4 linked regions of the Daphnia pulex genome follow. The protein of the gene in region 2 purifies or fractionates together with the protein of the main gene of each other region. This does not show direct contact. Links are inferred from orthologs where the notes say so. Each region holds a gene or a part of one and is shown on either strand. Other genes may lie near its edges.

Evidence for each region.
Region 1: the proteins of coatomer subunit delta-like (region 2) and coatomer subunit zeta-1-like fractionate together in Homo sapiens (co-fractionation; 5 studies listed by BioGRID and IntAct, with this or other methods). This does not show direct contact. The link is inferred for Daphnia pulex from reciprocal best matches to the Homo sapiens genes ARCN1 and COPZ1.
Region 3: the proteins of coatomer subunit delta-like (region 2) and coatomer subunit beta'-like fractionate together in Homo sapiens (co-fractionation; 5 studies listed by BioGRID and IntAct, with this or other methods). This does not show direct contact. The link is inferred for Daphnia pulex from reciprocal best matches to the Homo sapiens genes ARCN1 and COPB2.
Region 4: the proteins of coatomer subunit delta-like (region 2) and coatomer subunit alpha-like fractionate together in Homo sapiens (co-fractionation; 4 studies listed by BioGRID and IntAct, with this or other methods). This does not show direct contact. The link is inferred for Daphnia pulex from reciprocal best matches to the Homo sapiens genes ARCN1 and COPA.

The regions. Positions count from the first base shown.
Region 1 is NC_060024.1:1,293,791-1,298,361, forward strand, and holds coatomer subunit zeta-1-like, read right to left. Parts: upstream 2,898-4,571; 5' UTR 2,708-2,897; coding exon 2,516-2,707; intron 2,427-2,515; coding exon 2,181-2,426; intron 2,116-2,180; coding exon 1,982-2,115; intron 1,907-1,981; coding exon 1,816-1,906; intron 1,617-1,815; coding exon 1,569-1,616; 3' UTR 1,460-1,568; downstream 1-1,459. Other genes in the region: fibroblast growth factor receptor 2-like, read left to right, coding at 29-152, 222-601. UniProt on the Homo sapiens protein: The coatomer is a cytosolic protein complex that binds to dilysine motifs and reversibly associates with Golgi non-clathrin-coated vesicles, which further mediate biosynthetic protein transport from the ER, via the Golgi up to the trans Golgi network.
Region 2 is NC_060022.1:6,327,923-6,333,412, reverse strand, and holds the start of coatomer subunit delta-like, read right to left. Parts: upstream 3,255-5,490; 5' UTR 3,120-3,254; coding exon 3,117-3,119; intron 2,667-3,116; coding exon 2,627-2,666; intron 2,558-2,626; coding exon 2,322-2,557; intron 2,266-2,321; coding exon 2,086-2,265; intron 2,024-2,085; coding exon 1,839-2,023; intron 1,771-1,838; coding exon 1,588-1,770; intron 1,525-1,587; coding exon 1,395-1,524; intron 1,330-1,394; coding exon 1,146-1,329; intron 1,086-1,145; coding exon 974-1,085; intron 914-973; coding exon 709-913; intron 647-708; coding exon 557-646; 3' UTR 1-556. Other genes in the region: uncharacterized protein LOC124195439, read left to right, coding at 4,955-4,957, 5,472-5,490. UniProt on the Homo sapiens protein: Component of the coatomer, a cytosolic protein complex that binds to dilysine motifs and reversibly associates with Golgi non-clathrin-coated vesicles, which further mediate biosynthetic protein transport from the ER, via the Golgi up to the trans Golgi network.
Region 3 is NC_060017.1:7,291,694-7,297,124, forward strand, and holds the start of coatomer subunit beta'-like, read left to right. Parts: upstream 1-1,944; 5' UTR 1,945-2,109; coding exon 2,110-2,112; intron 2,113-2,183; coding exon 2,184-2,342; intron 2,343-2,404; coding exon 2,405-2,482; intron 2,483-2,550; coding exon 2,551-2,665; intron 2,666-2,726; coding exon 2,727-2,875; intron 2,876-2,944; coding exon 2,945-3,201; intron 3,202-3,263; coding exon 3,264-3,596; intron 3,597-3,659; coding exon 3,660-3,859; intron 3,860-3,926; coding exon 3,927-4,168; intron 4,169-4,229; coding exon 4,230-4,372; intron 4,373-4,448; coding exon 4,449-4,891; intron 4,892-4,950; coding exon 4,951-5,431. Other genes in the region: uncharacterized protein LOC124197376, read right to left, coding at 1-228, 291-557, 620-839, 918-992. UniProt on the Homo sapiens protein: The coatomer is a cytosolic protein complex that binds to dilysine motifs and reversibly associates with Golgi non-clathrin-coated vesicles, which further mediate biosynthetic protein transport from the ER, via the Golgi up to the trans Golgi network.
Region 4 is NC_060025.1:3,024,734-3,028,831, reverse strand, and holds the end of coatomer subunit alpha-like, read right to left. Parts: coding exon 3,510-4,098; intron 3,446-3,509; coding exon 3,237-3,445; intron 3,175-3,236; coding exon 2,992-3,174; intron 2,924-2,991; coding exon 2,514-2,923; intron 2,446-2,513; coding exon 2,271-2,445; intron 2,195-2,270; coding exon 1,790-2,194; intron 1,726-1,789; coding exon 1,489-1,725; 3' UTR 1,227-1,488; downstream 1-1,226. Other genes in the region: mitogen-activated protein kinase kinase kinase 7-like, read right to left, coding at 1-40; guanine nucleotide exchange protein smcr8a-like, read left to right, coding at 365-543, 605-872, 933-1,226. UniProt on the Homo sapiens protein: The coatomer is a cytosolic protein complex that binds to dilysine motifs and reversibly associates with Golgi non-clathrin-coated vesicles, which further mediate biosynthetic protein transport from the ER, via the Golgi up to the trans Golgi network.

The sequences.
Region 1 (4,571 bases), on a different chromosome or scaffold from region 2:
ATAATATTTTGTTGAATGTTAGGGGTTGATGCCGGTCAAGTGGATGGCGATTGAATATTTGATTGATCGCATCTTCTCCAGCCAATCCGACGTGTGGTCGTACGGAGTTCTTCTCTGGGAACTCTTTTCTTTAGGCCAAGTTCCCTACCCAGGTTCGAATTTATGTTTCCCTAATTTATAATTAACCGTAGGTTATTCCGAATATATTTCTGTTAATTTAGGTATGGACGTTGGTCACATACTCATGAAAGAAATTCTGAAAGGATATCGGATGGACAAACCGGAACTGGCGCCCAACTTCTTCGGTGAAATGATGGCCGATTGCTGGAAATCGGATCCGAAAGAGAGACCCACTTTCAGTCAAATGGAGGAGATTATCTGCAGTCACATGGAGTCGTCTGTCAGCTCAGACTATTTGAATATGAACGCGTTGTATGTAAAACTCAACGAAGATAAGGAAAACGCAACGCCAAAGGATCATTTTGGATTGGCAAAGTTGTTGGTAGAAAAATCAGGAGCTCAATCCAAGAGGGACACGACCGCTCGATATTCATTTTTACCTATGCTGTTCTCAAAAAAAGATGCTGATTCCGATCTTTAGCCAAACACTGATCAATCTGCTATCAATAATCGATTAACTAGGCACAGAGCAATCCACTTTAATATGAAGTTATTGCGTTATCATTTGATTTCTATTTTTGTCGAATTTTACCGCCTTTTCCTTTCTTTGTGGCTATTTGAATATGATCGCGCTGTATGTTATAAACTCAACGAAGATAAGGGAAACGCAAGGCTAAAGGATCATTTTGGATTGTCGAACTTCGAAGTTGTTGGTAGAAAATTCTGGAACTCGACCAAAAAAAAACAAAAAAAAAAAAACACAACGATTCGTTACCGATCCTTTTCAATTGGGTCGATTAAATCACCGCTTATCGCTGATAGATCAACGGAGCGAAAAACTGATGCGCTCTGTCCAAGCCTGGAATTCAATATCGTTATAAAGACACGACGAGTGAAACGTTTTTTTTTTTTTTTTTTTTTTTACCTTTTAATCGACGAAAGATTGACGTTATCAATAACTTCGAAATGAACTGGCAAACTTTAGTTGGTGTAATGCTGTACTTAAGCTGTACTGTAAGAGAATAACGTTCTATCCGAATTAAAACCAAGAACATTTCACCTAAATTACAGTGCAACCTGAAAAATATTGGAAATTCACATCTCTGTTGTGATAGAAACAAATTTCTTTTGTGCTTTCATTCGTTTGTAAACCCGAAGTAAATGTCAGAAAAAGGCAAACTATTCTTTGATGAATGAAAACAATCTTTTAAAGATCGCTGTAAAATACCAAGCACACCATCAGGTTATATAATGCGTGTTACAAGTTACAAAAAATTTAATTTCTAATACGGTGGATTGATTTTAATTATTTATCTGCTATTTTGATAAAGATGGCATCAACAGAACAGATTTGTATTTTTTTTATAGAACAACTTGGAAAAGGAGAAAAATAATGATAAGGATGATTCAACGACCGGAATTTATTGTGGTTGAAATAGTTTAGATCCTTATTTCAGAAGAGACCATTTTAGCTGCTCCTTTGCCGATTGAAGCACCTAAAAAATCAGACGGAAATAATTAAAGAATTTATTGATCTTCTCCCTTAATTATAGTAATTTTTAAAATGTATATTGTTTAGTTTAGAAGTAGCTGCTGGAAAATGAAAATTTCAAACTAATTTCAATTTTAAATTTAATTAAATTGAAAAAAACCTTATTTAAATATCTGATTAAGTAGTTAAGTTATCAAACATACCTGGGCCACTGTCTGCTCCCCAATTGGAATGTCATCATTCCGAAGAGCTACTCTGTATGATATAGCAGTGGGATCTGATTCCAGAATAATCCTGCAACACAATAGTAAACTGGTAATAGTATCTTGATAAACTTGTCATGATTACATGTTTGAATGGAAACCATACCCAGAATCACATATTTCATCCAAAGCAAGCATAACCACATCAAGATTTTCCATTAGAGAACGCTTTTCCACATTCTTTCTAAGTATTTGGCTGATGGAATCATACAAGCAGTTTAAAACACTAACCAAGATCAACTAAATAAGGGGAAAAAAATTCCAATTTACTAATATTTTGTGAACAACTTGTGAGCATCTTTTACCTCATTTTCATGGCTACTTCCCATGACATAAAAATAAAGATCCACATTGCTTTTGTAGACACAAGTCATGTTTTCTAGCATAATGATTTCCGTGTTAGCTCGGTGTGTTTTGTTGAATAGGTTTTTTTCAAAAACCTTCTGTTCTTTTGCAGTGGGTAATGTGTTTGGGTCATAGTACTTTGCAAGAATACGTTTACCATCATTGTCAAGGATTGCAATTCCTTTAATTACATACAGAGAAGGTTCCTAAAGAAATTTTATAAAAATGTATCATTTTGTTGTTGGTCTGACACAGCTGATTAAAGAAAATGTAGTACTAGAAGTAGCTATATTACCAGGACATGGTTATCCATTTCTTTATACAATATGCAATACACCACAACACAAGAGCTAAGAGAAATAAGATGAACCGTTGTACAGACGGGTGAATGAAAATGTTCCGTTCGAGATGTTGATGAGTTGTTCTTACTTGACAACCGGTAGTCCTGTATGCTACGTTGGCAGTTTCTTTCGCGTAGTATCGCCATGGAGTACTTCAACTAGAGTACGATTCTTATGTCGGTAAGAAAATTATATTAACCATTAAAAAAATTAACTTATAAATTTTATAAATTTCCTATACTGATCACAAACCATTAACGAGATAAATCTATTTTTGTTTTAAAAGATACGGGAAAAAGCAAAAGGGCCAGTCGTTAGCGCCATCTAGGAACTGCTTGTTGAGTATAAAAGATAAACAAACTGGACAGTGCGGCAACGCAGGATAGCCAGGAAAGAAGAGAGGGGGAGAAGGACCTACCCAGACAAAGGAATAAGAGAGGGGGACTCAGTGCTGTTGACGATTGTGGCTAGGCGAGTAGCAATACAAAGCGTTCTTTGCAGCAAACAGGTTCACGTGTTAATTTCTATATCAACAGGTTATGGGCCCAGCTGTACGCACAGCTAACAGCTACTCTGTCTGAACAATTATTTTTTTTGTGTGTGTCCCCGGCTAACTGTTCCCAAGAAATTAGAAATTCTTTTCTGGAGTGATGGAGAAAGATGGCCGCCGCCATGTTGTATGGTGTCTGAATGGGAAAAACTACGCGTCTTGGAAATTTGGAATGAAGCTGGCGTTACAAAGTGTTGAGCTTTGGGAAGTCGTGAACGGGACTCAACGGCAACCTGCTGAAGTAAGTTTATTGATGATTTATTGTTTTCTTTATGTGTGTGATCCGTGCCTGACAACAACGCGATATGAGATGCCTATCTGTGGCGTGGTACCAACTATTAAATTGACAAACTTAGATCCCGGCGTGAGTGCTTAATCTCTGCCACTTGATTTTGTTTTTTGTGTGTTTGTGTTTGCTGGACATTTCTCTTTTTTTGTGTTTCTTTCTCAATCTGTTTGGTCACTCTGGCTAAATTCCATCATATGATGGTGGACAAGTGTGTGCTAGAGTTGCAAGCATCTAGGAGACAGCTGAGTGTTTTTCCACATCGAGATGATGTGAGGGAGATTCCACATTGAGATAATGTGAGAGGTATTCCACATCGAGATGATGTGAGGGAGATTCCACATTGAGATAATGTGAGAGGTATTCCACATCGAGATGATGTGAGGGAGATTCCACATTGAGATAATGTGAGGCTGCCATGGATATCACAAACCTAACCATCTTCTCGTTTTGTTACCACAATCAGAGACGCAATGCTGACCAGGTGATTGAAAATGCAGCTGATATAACCAACTGGAACAAGAGAAATACCACGGCAATGCAGAACATATTTGGCGCCATCAAAGAAGACCAATCAAGGATCCTGATGTCTTGTAGCACAGCCCAAGAGATGTGGATGAAATTGGAGACTGAGTATGAAGAAGATGCCGCAGACAATGCACCTCTATTGTGGACAAAGTTCTATGGATGCACATTTCGACCAAGCCAAAGTGTATCAAGCTTCCTGACTGAGTTGGAACAGATAGCATTCCGTCTGAAGAGCCTCAACATAGCTATTGATGATAATCAAATAATGGCAAAGATACTCATGTCGCTTCCTCCAGAGTTCCGTGTTTTTGCCTTTGCATGGGACAGCACGCCTGTTGCAGAGAAAACTCTCAAGAAACTGACTACTCGCCTTATAGCATTGGACAAGAGCCTGCGCAACGACGAAGAAGCAAAATCGACATCTGATACTGCCTATCTCAGTAAGCCGAACAGAGATGAATCACAGCACAAAGAGCAAGCACTTCCTGCCCAGTACGGTCAGAACAAAGGAAAAAGCCACCCTTCCAGTCAACATGCTGGTATACCGAGAACATGCTGGGAGTGCAACTCCACTACGCATGTTAGAGCTCAATGCCGTCAATACAAACGCCGGCGTGAGAGAGAAGGAGAAGAAGCGGACAGAAAA
Region 2 (5,490 bases):
GGAAATAATACAGCTTTTAATTGATATACTGTATGCCATGCAACCCCAGCAGTGTACACTGTTCCAACGACAACACATGATAAGAGTTTTCTGAACTCTTAACTGATCGAAAACATAAACAAACGGAGAAAGAAAAAGAGATGAAAGAAAAGAGAAAAGAAAACACGCCCAAACATGAGTGCCGCTGCTGATTCAAAGATATATGCACGTAGAAAAAAAGGAAGAAAAAACTTTTAGATTTCAATATATCATATTTACTGGGCGGCTCAACAAACTTCAGCGCTTTAAATTGCTTTGTTATGAAAGGTGGGAGAAAAAAGGGTGAATTTGAGGAGGTTGAATCGATTCAGAGACGGGAAAAACGAACTGCACGTTGGCATTAAATATTAACCACAGATGGTAACCTAAAGTCTTTCTCATTCCTCACCCCTCTCCTCCAGTTGACAGTCAAGGAGTTCATCAGTTTGTTTGTGTTGACGCTAACGACAGGGGGTGAGGGGCAACTGGCAAAATCACGAACACTTTGCTACTTCCACGGATTTCAGAAGCAAAACATTCAAAGGATTTCGTACTTCTCCGTAAAAAAATTGGAATCGGCCGCATACTTCACCGATGTGCCGTCATCTACTAGTACGACATCATTTACCTACAACGAAAATGGGAAAATTGTAGACAAATGGAATAAATAAACACAGATTGCAACCGTACCGATATTTCAGCATAGGAGCGCTTCGAATAGAAGTTGACATTGATTGGGAAGAAGTCATTCGCATGGCCCTGACATGAAAACTCCATAGCTCCACTTTTATTGGAAGAGTCCACAACGGGGAGTTGCCACGAAAGCTGATTTTTCCTTGGTTCATACTGATACTCTCCTTCACACTCGGAAACATTCGGTGCTCCGCAACCATGACTACACGAATAAACGAAAGATGATGAGTTGCACCTAGAGCCTAATAGAAAAAAGTCTTACGGCAACGGAATGACAATGACAACGTCGTTCAGCTCTAATCGATCATCTTGAAGTTCGAATTCAATATTAACGTCACAGCCTCCACGTCCGTTTTCAGCTGGCCAGCAATTAACTATAATTTTTTTTAAATCATTAAATTTTGCCAGACAACGTAATTAAGATGATGAATTACTGTTCAGTGGAATCATATTTTCGTCTTGTGTTTGGAAACGCCACTTAAGTACACCAACATCCGTATTCAATGGGAACGGTTTTGTGGCATTCTTCAATGCAATGTGCTGCTTAGTGCGAAATAGTTCCTTGTCAACGTTAGGATGAGTTTGAATTTGAATTCCGCGACTATCTCTGTTCTCCACCTATGGATAAATCAGTCGAATTTTGAAAAAAGAAAATAAACACAATGCAAAGGAAATCATTTTACCTGTACGCGGACTCGACCGTAAGTCTCATCAGTAATAAAAAGTGTTAGTAAGCCATGAATTTCCATGTTGTGTAATCCACCGTCACGTCCACAACTGAGGCTAAGCTTTTCTTCTATTCGAAGTTGGACTCTGGATAAAAGAAATTACAGTCAAGCGTTAAATTTTAATAAGCATTGAGGTATTGTAAATTACGGTTCGGTAGCGATGGTTGATGGCGGCAGTTTGTTTGAGCTCACAGAACCACCTTGGACTACGGAAGCGGGGGACTGGAACGAGTTTACATTCTCGCCTTCTGATTTTAGTTGGTCAACAAATATTTCGGCGTCCTTCAGACGGCCCCCAAGCTTGAGGGCTTTGCTCGGGCCATTAGGTTTTCTAAGAAAAGTACCACGCTGTCAGTTAAGAACTAGTTGAGCGGAAAAATAATTAGCGAATTCACTTACACAACAGCTGGTTGATAAGTTGGCTTAGGAGGCTCAGTCGGAATCGAAGCAGCCATGGGAGATGGCCCGTAACCTCCAGAAGATGAAATGGGAGACTTGATGCCCCTTTTATTAGATTCAACTCGCTGTCTCTGCAATTCTTTGGCTTTCTCTCGCATTTTCATCTTGGCATCTCGTTCTTGTGTCTTTATGGGGAAAAAAATAGTGAAATAAGACCAAACAACTACTTAAATGAGAAAATCCAAACCTGTCTAACAGCCTGGTAGACTTTCTCTTCGTGTGAATCCATTTCGACAAATGTTCGAATTTGAGCCAAATTAACGTTTTCGCGATAGCCAAGAGCAACGATTTCGTCAAAGGCAAATATCAAATTGAAGGCATTTTCCCGGATTTCGGATTCTTCAAAAGTGCGGCAATATTCAGGTACCTACATGAATTTAATGTTAGCAAACCTACTAATGAGAAGATCTTATAAATTATTACCACACGAGCGAAAAGACGTAAAGTTTCTAAATCCTCCAAGATATTGGATGCCCTCGTTGTGATAAGTAATACATACACTTTGTCTAAAGGTTGATAAACATATCTAACCGATTCTGTTTCAACAAAAGTGTGTTGTTGTTGAGCAGCTTTTCCTGAAGACATTAGTTTAGGAAAGGCAGCTAAGAGACCTTCTATTCTGGATTTGGTCATCTCCACAAACTGTCTTGACACCAAGGCTGTAATTGAGAAAAAAAAAGTCATTTCTATTATTTTATGCATCATTTTTGTAAAACTTTGCAACACACCTTTTCCACCCTTGGTGCAAACAGCAGCTGCAATGAGAACCTGAATAATAATGAAAATTAATGAACAAGTGTCACAAGTGGAACAAAATCACAGAAATGACAACAAACATATTTTTTGTTGCGAAATAACATTGGCAACTTGGTATTGCTTCAACGATATTAAAAGCCCATGTTTTCTAGGCTACTGTTGCTAAAGATACAGCACACAATCTTTCAGAAATCAAAATGTATTGCTAGCTTTCCGAAGTAGTCTGGTATACTAGAATGCATGTCCTAACAATCAAAGTTAATCATAGTTATATGATTGAAATGTTTTAAGTTATTTTGATGATGTAAAGCACTATTGAAGAAATCATAATAAAATATCCACGTAGACGAAAGTTTAGCCAAATGTCAGATGGGCCGGTTGTGCAACCCCAATGACAACTTCAACAACGCCCATAGTAAATATTTTCATAAAATTAAAAACACTTAGGTTCGTTGATCATACCATTATTGCGCAGATTAAAGGCTCCTAAAGACTTTATCGGACCCCTTTTACCACAACTTTTCAGGGAGGATTCAAGATCCTAAGAACTGACGGCACAAGATGACGTGGATCGTCAACTGTTTTTCCAGGGTTGCCATTTTCAAATTGAAAAATAAATAAAACTGAAGCAAGGGCCCGTTTCTGGCAATGGCTGATTGATGTCTGGCGGTAAATATTTTGGTATTCGAATGCATCATAATTTTCTGCGTGTTTCACTGAGTTATTGCTTTCAAAGTAAAACAAAGGAAACAACATTATGATGGGTAAAATGTTCGATTGAGTTCGGCAAGATCGCATATTCGCATGTGACATCAGAAATTCGGCAAAACGACTCAAAACAACTAGTCAAGGCAAGTCTCGAAAATGATCTCATAACTACTCCTTTTTACTCAACTCCAGTCCACACAAAAAGGATTTTTTTTAATGTATTTTCTGTTTAATGCTACTCGAAAAATAATCCGAATAAAATGTTCAAGTTAACGAAAACGAATTTAGTTGGTTAACGAATTTAGTTGGTTAACGAATTTGCGTCTATCTGTCGAATTTGTAGCATGCAACCACTTTCTCCGTATAAGTCTGAGGCTGTCATTGTTTACTTTATGATTACCTGATTGCTGAACCCATGACGAAAACTACGGTGAACTATTGTGAAAGGATCTTAACATGATAATGGGAAAATAGTGAGAGGATTTATTCGCTGTATGTGCAGGCCAACCCATTTCAACCATTATTCTATATTTGGCGATTTTGGTAAAATGCCCACAAGAGCTAAATAACAGAAACAGAAAGTGCTTTTGCAACGAAAATGAGTCTCCGAAATCGACTAGAACTTTTTTGTTGTATCGTGTCACGTTTTTTTTCAATAAATTTTGTTTCTTATAGCTTAGAAGCGACATGAAATAAATAAAATGATTCAGATTTTCTTGTTTAAATTTCTGAAAGATTGGGCATTAATTAATAATTATAAGGTACCTGTTTTACATTAAATACAATTAGAGGATATAAAAACTACTGATTGTATTGAAAATTCTTATCTGGTTAACAGAAATGAATTAGATTTATTTGTATTCATTTATTCAACCCATCGAGTGTCCGACAGGCGACAGTTAAGATTTGCGATCACGCAATCGAGTGTCATTATGATCACCAGATCACGTCACATTCGTCCTAACGGAGTGTGGTAGAGACTTCTCCTCCCCCTGGAGGAGGAGGAGCTACGCAACTCAGATTTTTTTTTCTCTAGACACTTCTACATCTCGGAGAAAGAAAAAGTATTTTATTATCCCCTCCAAATCACGATATAGGAGCAGTAGAACGAGTTCATTTTGATCCATTCCGATACCAGAAGAATGCATTTAAAATAAATGGAAACGAATACTATTGTAAAAATCAAAATGAATTAATGCAATGCAGATTCCTTGTAATTAACGATTCAAAGCGCAACATCTCGCGACTACAGTTAACATGTATTTGAATTTCCGAATTATAAATAGCTTAACTTAATTAATTTTGAATGAAATCAAAGCCCCACAGAGTTGCCATAAGAGACCGCAGTGTTTTTCAAAATTGCTGGTCGCCCATGATTGGCCCAACGGAAAAGAGGAATGGAGAGGAAAAGACCTGGGGAAATCGGTGGATGGGATATCGGCTCGAAAAGGATCGACCTCTCTGCTTTTTTTCTGAACAGTTGATTCTGAGACTTTGAAGGTGGTGGTGCAACGACTCGTTAAATCTTTCTCGCACGCGCCGGCCATACACACGTGACTGAGCTCTGATCATTTATCCGGTCAACTTGAATCATGGTAAGTTTCTACTTTTTCATTTGAGTATTTCTTCGATGTGATTCGTGTTAAGAATCGGGCTAAATTCTTCGTTAGAATATGTAATTAAGTCGATTGCCTGTCATCAGGTCAACTCTTTTTTCCGTTACAGTTCACTATGGCCTCCATTTTAACTTGATGACGTAAAGTGTGATCAGAGTTTAACTTAAGTCAACTAATGTCAAACTGATGGCTGTACGTGTTTTTTTTTTCTTGCAAGTTTCGACTCAAGTTGTTGAAATGTGGAATGTTTTGCTTGGGAAGAGGGAGATAAGTAAATTACAGTGATGTGGCCTTGCTTTAATATTTTATGTTTCTTGGTCTGCAATGGGGAGGGGGGAGTGGACATCTTCTAACCGGCGCGTGTTTTCCTTTCCCCTTCTCTTTACAGGAAACTGTCGACTCAAGGTCGTTCAATTGACATCCCAATTTTGTACGACCACGTGCTCGGTTTTCTTATATTAGAGTAAATTTTGGTTTATTTTTCTATCGACAGTTGGAAAAAGTTGCAACCC
Region 3 (5,431 bases), on a different chromosome or scaffold from region 2:
CATGAGAATATGGTTCTGACGACTCACTAATAGATGGTTCTTCTAAGTCCTGTAACTCTTTAAAATCAGAGCCCTTTAAAGCCTCAGAAATGAATTTTTTGTGTGAATGTGATTTGCATTTTGCATTCTCTTTCTCTGGATTAACTTCCAGAGCAAATCTGGGCACACTCTTCTTCACTAATACTGCTGGAAGCTGGACAGGTTTTAAGTTTTCAACTTTTTGTTCTTCTGTGAACAATATAGAGCACATTAAAATCATTTTTTTTTCTTTTTACTTGAATAAGAATCACCTTTTTCTTCATTTAATGGAGTAGCTACTTCATTAGAATATATTTCTGATGACTCACTAGATTGTTCTTTAAAGTACTGTAACACTGTAGAATCTGAGCTCTTTGAAGACTCGGAAATTAATTTGTTGACTGAATTAGGTGAGTTCTTTGTTAACAAATATTGAGCATCAATTTTTTGCTTTGCTGGAATAGCTTTCACAACTAATGTAGGCACAGTTTTCTTCACTGATATTACTGAAGGCTCATCAGATTTTAAGTTTTCTTGTTCTGTGAATAATAATATGGCACAATATTAAATTTTGTTTTGTACTCTTAAAATGTTATCTTACCTTGGTTTTCATTCAATGAAGTAGCCACTTCATTAGAATATGTTTCTGATGACTCACTAGACTGTTCTTCAAAGTGCTGTATCACTTTTTTAACCGAGCCTTTCGAAGCCCCAGCAGACTCTTTATTCTCTTCAGCTGCTAGTTCCAGCACAGTATTAATCCTTGTCGAACTATTATCCAAATAAGATCGAAAATCCACGTCTTTTTTGTCTTCTTGGTACTAGAGTAGTATGTATAAATCGCAAGAGTTAGAATCAGGTCTGCATAGCTCTTTGAAGAGAATTTGACATTAAAATACCTTAGTGAAGAAGGAACTCCAAAAATTATCTCTTTCTTGTAAAATTCCTTCCCAGCATTTTTTCAATCTGTCCATCGTGTTGGATTGTCATTTCATAGTTTCGAAATTATTGATCCATTATTTCAACAAGTAGGCCACTCTCTTAACACCAACAAGAACATAGCATCCGACGCTTTCGAGTTTTGAATTCACCTTTGCAACTTAATTTCGTCTGCTATAACTTTTGCAACAGTGTTTATCTGACAATTAGGTGATGATTGAAAATTTGAAACATATTATTCCAGAATATATGGATGAAGGAAAAATGTGGTGTATTATTCACAATTGTATCATCAAAATTAAAAATAAGAATCAAAAGACCCCAAGTAATTCCCTGAGGATTGCTTGTTTCAGGCAATCAAGAAAAATGAATTGCAAAAATTTTCAGCAGTTAATTCATTATCTTGATCCAATCTTTAAAACTGGATTTTTTTTGTATGACATGTAATCATCATATTTGAAGAATGAAATTTCAGTTTCATGTCTTACATCACTCTCCTTGAGTGTCCTTTCCGCTTTAAGGATGAGACCTTCATCATTCTCGTGGTTAATGACAGGATCATTTGTTTTAGCTCCATGTGCATGGTGCTCAATCTGTAGAAAACCATAGAAAAAACAACAAATACATAAAAATAGCAGTAAGATGTTATTCAAATAACCTTCAAAGTGTCATATTCGTATTTTCGAAAAGGTGGTGGCAGTCCCGGAGCAACACCCAACTCTTGAATTATTCTAGTTTTCAACTCTTCAGTTGTAAGGGAAAGTGGTACATTCTTTAAAACCACATTGCGAATGTTTCGATATTCAAACGACCGGATGACTCGAATAATGATCGTGGCTGTCTCCATTGATAAATTGTGCGGGGCAGTTTGTTTTGAACTGATGTGATGTTGCCACTGTCGAAATAGTTTAACAAATTTTGAATTATTACAGGGTACGCTTAAAATGTATAGAATAAATAGCTCATAATAGTTTTGAAAATTACACTCCCGACGAGGTCACACAATATTAGTAAAAGCTGATAGAAAAGAAGCAATTTAGTATTTTGGCTAATGATTCTATCTGGCAATGTTTATTTGTGCTCCACTCCTCCCCCAGTGATGACAGATCAACCGGCCACGTAGTAGAACTATTCAACAATCCTCACAACAAAATGGTTTAACATTAATACTACTTGTTTAAATCATAACAATTATTGAGCTAATTTCATGTTATAATTTTTTATAGCCGCTGAAACTAGATATCAAGAGAAGGCTTACCGCCCGTTCGGATCGCGTGAAAAGTGTCGACTTGCATCCAACAGAGCCATGGATGTTGGCCTCCTTGTATAATGGAAATGTGCATATTTGGAACCATGAATCACAACAAATCATCAAATCTTTTGAGGTAAAATGAGTACTTCATTGAATTCTTCCTTAATGACTTGACCATTACTTGCCCTTTTGTAGGTTTGTGACCTGCCTGTTCGTGCTGTCAAGTTTGTCCCAAGGAAAAACTGGGTTGTTAGTGGTTCTGATGATATGCAGGTATAGTTTTCTTGATGTCTTATCCATTTCAGATTAGATATAGTTTAATCCTCTTTAAATTGTTCCAGGTCAGAGTGTTCAACTACAACACACTTGATCGTGTGACAGCATTTGAAGCTCATTCAGACTATGTTCGTTGCATTGCTGTGCACCCCACTCAACCCTTTCTATTAACTAGCAGTGGTATGTAAATAATCTGTTTTTCTAACAGATTCAGTGTTCATACAGTCTTTCTTCATTTTAGATGATATGTCAATTAAGTTGTGGAATTGGGAAAAGAACTGGGCATGCCAACAAGTCTTTGAGGGTCACACCCATTATGTTATGCAGATTGTCATCAATCCAAAAGATAACAATACATTTGCTACTGCATCTCTTGATAGAACAGTCAAGGTATGTTTTTACGAAAATATTTTGCCAGAAATTTAACTTAAAATCAATTTATTACGGTCCCTCATTCAGGTCTGGCAGTTGGGCTCGAACACACCGAATTTCACTCTTGAAGGCCACGAGAAAGGAGTAAATTGCGTCGACTATTACCACGCCGGCGACAAACCTTACTTAATTTCAGGTGCAGATGATCGGCTTGTTAAAATTTGGGATTACCAGAATAAAACCTGCGTCCAAACTTTGGAAGGGCATGCACAGAATATTTCTTCTGTTGCCTTCCACCCCGAACTTCCAATTCTGCTTACTGGATCTGAAGATGGAACAGTCAGGTAAATTTATTATTCTCTTTATTTATTTTTTAGTCAAGTATACTATTTTCTCTAAATCGTAGAGTATGGCATTCAAATACCTACCGGTTGGAGACTACTCTCAATTATGGGCTGGAGCGTGTCTGGACCATTTGTTGTTTGCCTGGGTCTAATAACATCGCTTTGGGCTACGATGAAGGATCTATCATGATTAAATTGGGCCGAGAGGAACCTGCAATGTCCATGGATCAAAGCGGTAAAATTATCTGGGCCAAACATTCAGAGATCCAGCAGGCCAATCTCAAAGCGCTGCCGGACTCGGAGATCAAGGATGGAGAACGTCTTCCTCTTGCCATCAAGGATATGGGTGCATGCGAGATTTACCCTCAAACTGTCGCTCACAATCCAAACGGAAGGTATGTTTGCTAACTGCTCATGGCATAGAAACCAGTAAATAATAAAATTCCGTTTCATAATAGATTCGTCGTTGTTTGTGGTGACGGCGAGTACATCATCTATACAGCTATGGCTCTGCGAAACAAAGCTTTCGGTTCAGCTTTGGAGTTTGTGTGGGCAGTGGACTCATCCGAGTATGCTGTTCGTGAAAGTGCCACGTCGGTCAAAGTTTTTAAGAACTTCAAGGAAAAGAAACAATTCAAACCAGAGCTGGGAGCCGAAGGTATATTGTGCATAGTAATTGAAAACAGAATGAAATATTGATTCTAATTAAAATTTTACATTCACAGGAATCTTTGGTGGAGCAATGCTTGGGGTCCGGTCTACCAACAGCTTAGCTTTTTACGAATGGGACAATCTGACACTGATTCGTCGGATTGAGATCCAGCCACGTGGTGTGTATTGGTCGGAAAATGGTGAATTAGTTTGCATTTCTACCGAAGACAGCTATTTTGTTTTGCGTTATGATGCTGATGCCGTGGCCAAAAGCCTTGAAACCAAAGAAGGCTTGACCGACGATGCCGGAATTGAGGTGATTTTATTTAAAGACAAAGTGTTAGTACATTTTTAAAAAATATTTTCTGAATGTTTAGACGGCGTTCGAAATGTTATCTGAAGTGCAAGAAAGTGTTAAGACGGGACTTTGGGTGGGCGATTGCTTTATCTACACCAACAGTGCCAACCGATTAAATTATTACGTCGGTGGGGAAATTGTCACAGTGGCCCATCTCGACAGGTATGGCTTGAAAGTTCACCATTCTTGCAATAATCAAACCGATACTATTAAACCCATGTGTAACTTTTGTTTCCAGAGTGATGTACTTGTTGGGCTACATTCCCAAGGACAACAGTCTTTACTTGGGCGACAAGGAGCTAAATGTAGTTTCCTACGGCCTGCAACTCTCGGTGCTTGAATATCAAACCGCAGTTATGCGACGAGACTTCGAAACAGCTGACCGAGTGCTCCCGTCGGTTCCCAAAGAGCAACGCACTCGAGTGGCTCATTTTCTTGAGAAGCAGGGATTCAAAGAACAGGCATTGGCAGTCTCCGCTGATCCTGAGCATCGCTTCGAACTGTCACTTCAGCTTGGTCAATTGCAACTGGCCTACCAACTAGCCTGCGAGGCTCAGAGTGAGCACAAGTGGAAACAACTTGCTGATCTGGCCACAACCAAATGTCAGTTTGAGTTGGCTCAAGAGTGTCTTCACAAGGCACAGGATTTCGGAGGACTCCTACTTTTGGCTACAGCATCCGGTATGTCATTTTACATTGTTTCGTCCTTTGTTCAGATAGTTAATATGTTGAATGTTCAGGTAATGCCGAAATGGTGCAGCGATTAGGCGATGACGCAATTGGAGCTGGCATGAACAACGTTGCCTTTTTGACGCGCTTCCTGAGTGGCGATTTGAACGCTTGCCTTGAGATCTTGATCAACACCCAACGCATTCCCGAGGCTGCCTTCTTTGCTCGCACTTATCTGCCTAGCCAAATCTCGCGCGTGGTCCAGCTCTGGAAGCTCAGTCTTAGCCAGGTCAATGCAAAAGCTAGCCAAAGCCTGGCTGATCCTGCCCAGTATGACAATCTCTTCCCTGGCTTGATGGATGCTCTCAAGACGGAACAGTTTCTTGAACAGAGACGTCAACAGTTGCCGGCCTCGGCTTACTCTTCGCTGCCCAACAATTGGGAGAGACACCCAGTAGAGGAGATGAGACTAGCCGAACAGAACGATCAATTCCATCATGTTACGCCCGCTAAAGTGTCCTTTGTGGAGGAGGAGAAGGAAGTTGAAGAAAC
Region 4 (4,098 bases), on a different chromosome or scaffold from region 2:
TTGTTTTTAAGTCGCCAGAAAATGTTTCTGACGAATCCATGATTACAAATTATATTTACACAACTACAAATCCAAAAACAAGTTTTGTTAAACAAAATTTTTCGTATCAAACTTTTCGTCTGGTCCGATCTTCCTTCTTTACTGCCATCTAGCAACAAATTTTGTCACCACCACGAACCACCTAGCAGACGTCCCTGCTGGACTGTCACCAAGACAAAAGTTCACTCGTCTTTCAAAATCAACACAATGTTGGTTTAATGTGATTGTCATTGTACTTACTTCGTATGGGTAACTTAAATAAATATTTGCACGTTAAATTGCTTGTACAGCCTAATGAAAAGTCTTTGTAATAATCAATAATAACATGGCTAGTAGCCAAACGATTAGAGACTTTATTCTAATAAGCGAATTCTGTGAAGTCGAAGGGCCTCGTTGTGTTTTGACTATCCCAGCTGTTCTACCTCATCTGAATAACAATGAGAATTTCAATCTGGATGAATTTCTTCTTTACATAATGACAACAGATTATCAGAATTTTCCAGGGTATTTATTTTAAATTATTCAAAAATTCTTTGGGTTATTTCATACTATTTTAATCCCACAGGGAAAAGTTGGATGAAATATCTGATGTGCCTTGCATTCGGACCAACATCATTCAGAATTTCCATGCCATCCTTCATTACTTTACTTTGAAGGATTCTCAGGCAAGAGGAGGTGTGCGTCCTTCTTGCATAGCTTACATCACTCAAAATCAGACCAAGCTCTATCGTCTGAAAAATGAAATCCTCAATGTTCTCAACATGTCTGCCCAAATATTGAAAAATGCAAACATGAGGTGGATGGGGAGCTTAGGACAGGATGTTGGAGTACAGGTAGACAACAGTTACTGTACTTTGACCTCCTACAAGTATTATTTCTTTGATCCTTGACAGGAGAACAACACTATCACTAGTCTGCTTGACAAATGGAATCATCTAACTCAGCCAGAACCTGAATTAGGGGATCAAGAAAAGAAGCTTAAGCCATGGCATTTGCTCTGTCCCATAGGAATCTCAATTGTGATATCAGGTCTAATATTTGTGTATAAAATAACCTGTAGACCTCTGGAAGATCAGATCTTGGACCCAAAGGTGATTTGTTCAACTTATGATTTGTTTACCAACGTAAACCCCGATAATGTTGATTTTAAAGCTGTAATGTCTCAATTAAACAGTTTTATATTATGATCAGTTTGTATCGAGAATTCCAGAAAATAAATCAAGCAACACGGATATGTTTAGAAGATAGCTTTATAGTTTATACTTGAATTAGAACTGGTTCTCCAAAGGTGTTTGTTGTATAACTTCAATGTATCTAGTACCCCAAAATTAACAAACCAACATAGCAAATAGCGAAAGAAAAATAACAAACTGTTGATCAAAAGACTGGGGTTCGGCCAGTTGATAAAATAAACGATACTGGAATTATCAAGGGACACGAACGTTTCGTTTATCGAAATTGGGCGGTACTAATCCGCAATCCGATGCAATCCTTTCCAATTTCAGCAACGGTACAAACTTGACACAAGGATCCCTTCAATGAAGGTTGGTAAATTGAACTACAAAGAGGGCACTTTTCTTCTGGTTTTCCGCGATAGATGGGCGTGTAAGTTTTAGCGCACAAGTTGAACGGGTTGTGCTCATCGTAGTGGAGCTGGACTTCATCATTTGCACCTTTATCGCATGCCTGTGGACACAAAATAAAAAAAAATTGAGCATGAGTTACCACAATAAACTTCCAGATGAAGTACCTGAAGGATTTTGCGAGTTTGTTGCGCCACTTCGGGTTTAGGTCCAAGTTCCAGGAGGCGCCGGGCAAAGGAGGCCGCAGTGCGGAAGTTTTTGAGTTTGAAACTAAGATTCAGCGCCGTTCTCAAAGTTAAGATCTGATGGATGGGTTGCAGCTCTGAGTGGGTGAAGTAGGCTGCCATTTCACAGCTACGCTTCTGATCCTCTAAACTCTCCTTGGGCAAATCTTTACGAGCAGCTTCCATGCTAAGGCCAACAATATACTCCCGACAGATGGCAATTAATTCTTGGGCCTTGCGAACTTCTTCTTTGTTGTCGACCACCAAGAGTGGAACATTTAACAAAAGCAGGCGGAAACGATCAACAGCTTCGTTGAATTTGCCAGCAGTCGTCAGTTGATAGCAGATCTGTCAACCGAATTAAATATAATTTAACTACTTTCCCAAATTGAAAAAAAAAAAATAAAATAAAATGATGGCCTACCTGAAGCCTTTGAGCTAAATCAGCCAAGCGAACACCAAGTGCAGGTAATCCGTGAACTTTAGAGGAGGCAGCAACTTCCCTCCAGTTACGCTGTGGGTATGCGGCCAGGGAAGGTAGATTAGGCAATCCAGCAAACATAGTTCGTGATTTGGCGAAGGCTGCGGTAAACAATGGCCTAACGGAGTAGAAAGAAACGCTATGTTATAAGCAAATGACGAAGGAATTAACAGTTATTGTACGTACTTGAACGGTGCAAAATTAACGACACCAATCTGGTCATGGAGGAGACGGAAAGCAGATTCATAGGAGCCAGCTGAAGCGTGATCAATAACCAATTGCGAATGAGTGGCCCATCCTTGCAGAGGAGGCTGACCACGAGTGGGTGGCACGTAATAACCGCGGTCTTCGTCTTCACCTCCATGAGCAGCAACGCTCAAATCGGATGGTAACTCTAAATCTTCATCACCCACTTCCCAGCCACCTTCTTCATCTCCGCTCTCGGCATTGCCAGCCGATCCAACCGGTTTATCTTCATCATCAAGACCAAGATCAGCATCATCTCCCCAGCCATCAGGTTCACCGGCATCTTCCTCGGTAGCAACAGCAGATCCAGAAGCAATGGTACGAGCTGCCATGGCTCCATCGAAAAATCCCTGTTCCAGTTCATTTCAAATGTTAAAGTTCCCTCCCATTAAAATCTATCAAATGAACAATGGCGTACCTTGGAAACGGTCAACAATGGCCAGTTGGATTCCGCCTGAGCAATTGGAGGAGGCGGCTGCAAGAACACAGCAGATGGATTTACAGTAGGTACTGGTTGACCGGCTGCTTCCAGTTGTTGTTGCAGTAGTTCGGCCTCTTCATTAAGCCCATGGGTAGCGGCAGTAAGGAAAGCCAAGCTCGTCTAGACCATGTTTAAACATTACTATCATTCAAAACTTAGTTAACTGAACCGTCCCGTATTACCTGTCCGCAGTTACGAAGCACCTTGACACGTTCTTGCATATCCCCTAGCAAAAGGGCCGATTGGTATTGACCCGAAGTGTCCTTGCGAATTTCAGCAATCTTCATCATCTTTCTTAGCTTGTCGAGGTTGCCAGTAATCAGATACAAAAAGGCCAACTTGTTGAAATTCTTTGTCCTTTGATAGCACATCTCAACGACCTGGTGGTTGCCTACAGATCCAATATAAAGTAAGTTAAACATCATTAAAAAAAAACTAATAGCGAGAATCCTGACCTTGAAGAAGGGCAGCTTCGCCAAGTTTCTCCCAACAGAACTTGTCGTCTAGAGCCTTGGCGGCTTCAAGAGCTGCTTCAATGTTGCCACATTGGAGAGCCAGGGCCAGTCGAGTCTTTTCGTCTTTGACAAAGTGTAGGGCAACCTCTGGATAACCTTTTTGCTGCAAATAAGCGATGATCGATTGGCCGACAAGTTTGGCGTGTCGAACCATGTGCAACACTTCGTCGTACTTTCGGTTGACCAGGGCCAACTTGAAGCAGTATTCGGTGGGATCCACCTGGAACATGCGAGGACGGGCATCGCGATCCAAACAGTAGATAGCCTTGCCCTTGACACGGGTGAGATACACGGGCAGATCTAGGGTGCGGATGATGCCGTGATCGCCGTTGATCAATGAATACTTGATGTGGTGGCTAGTGGTGTAGATCAGAACACCCGAATCTTCCCAGGTAGCAGACTTGAGTCTGGCGTTCTCCTGGATGGTGCACAGCACTTCAAGACGACGGTTGGCGATGGTCAAGACGTGCTTGCCCAGTAATGCAACGTGACTCATGTCCGCCGACCAAACGACATGGCGACATTTGGT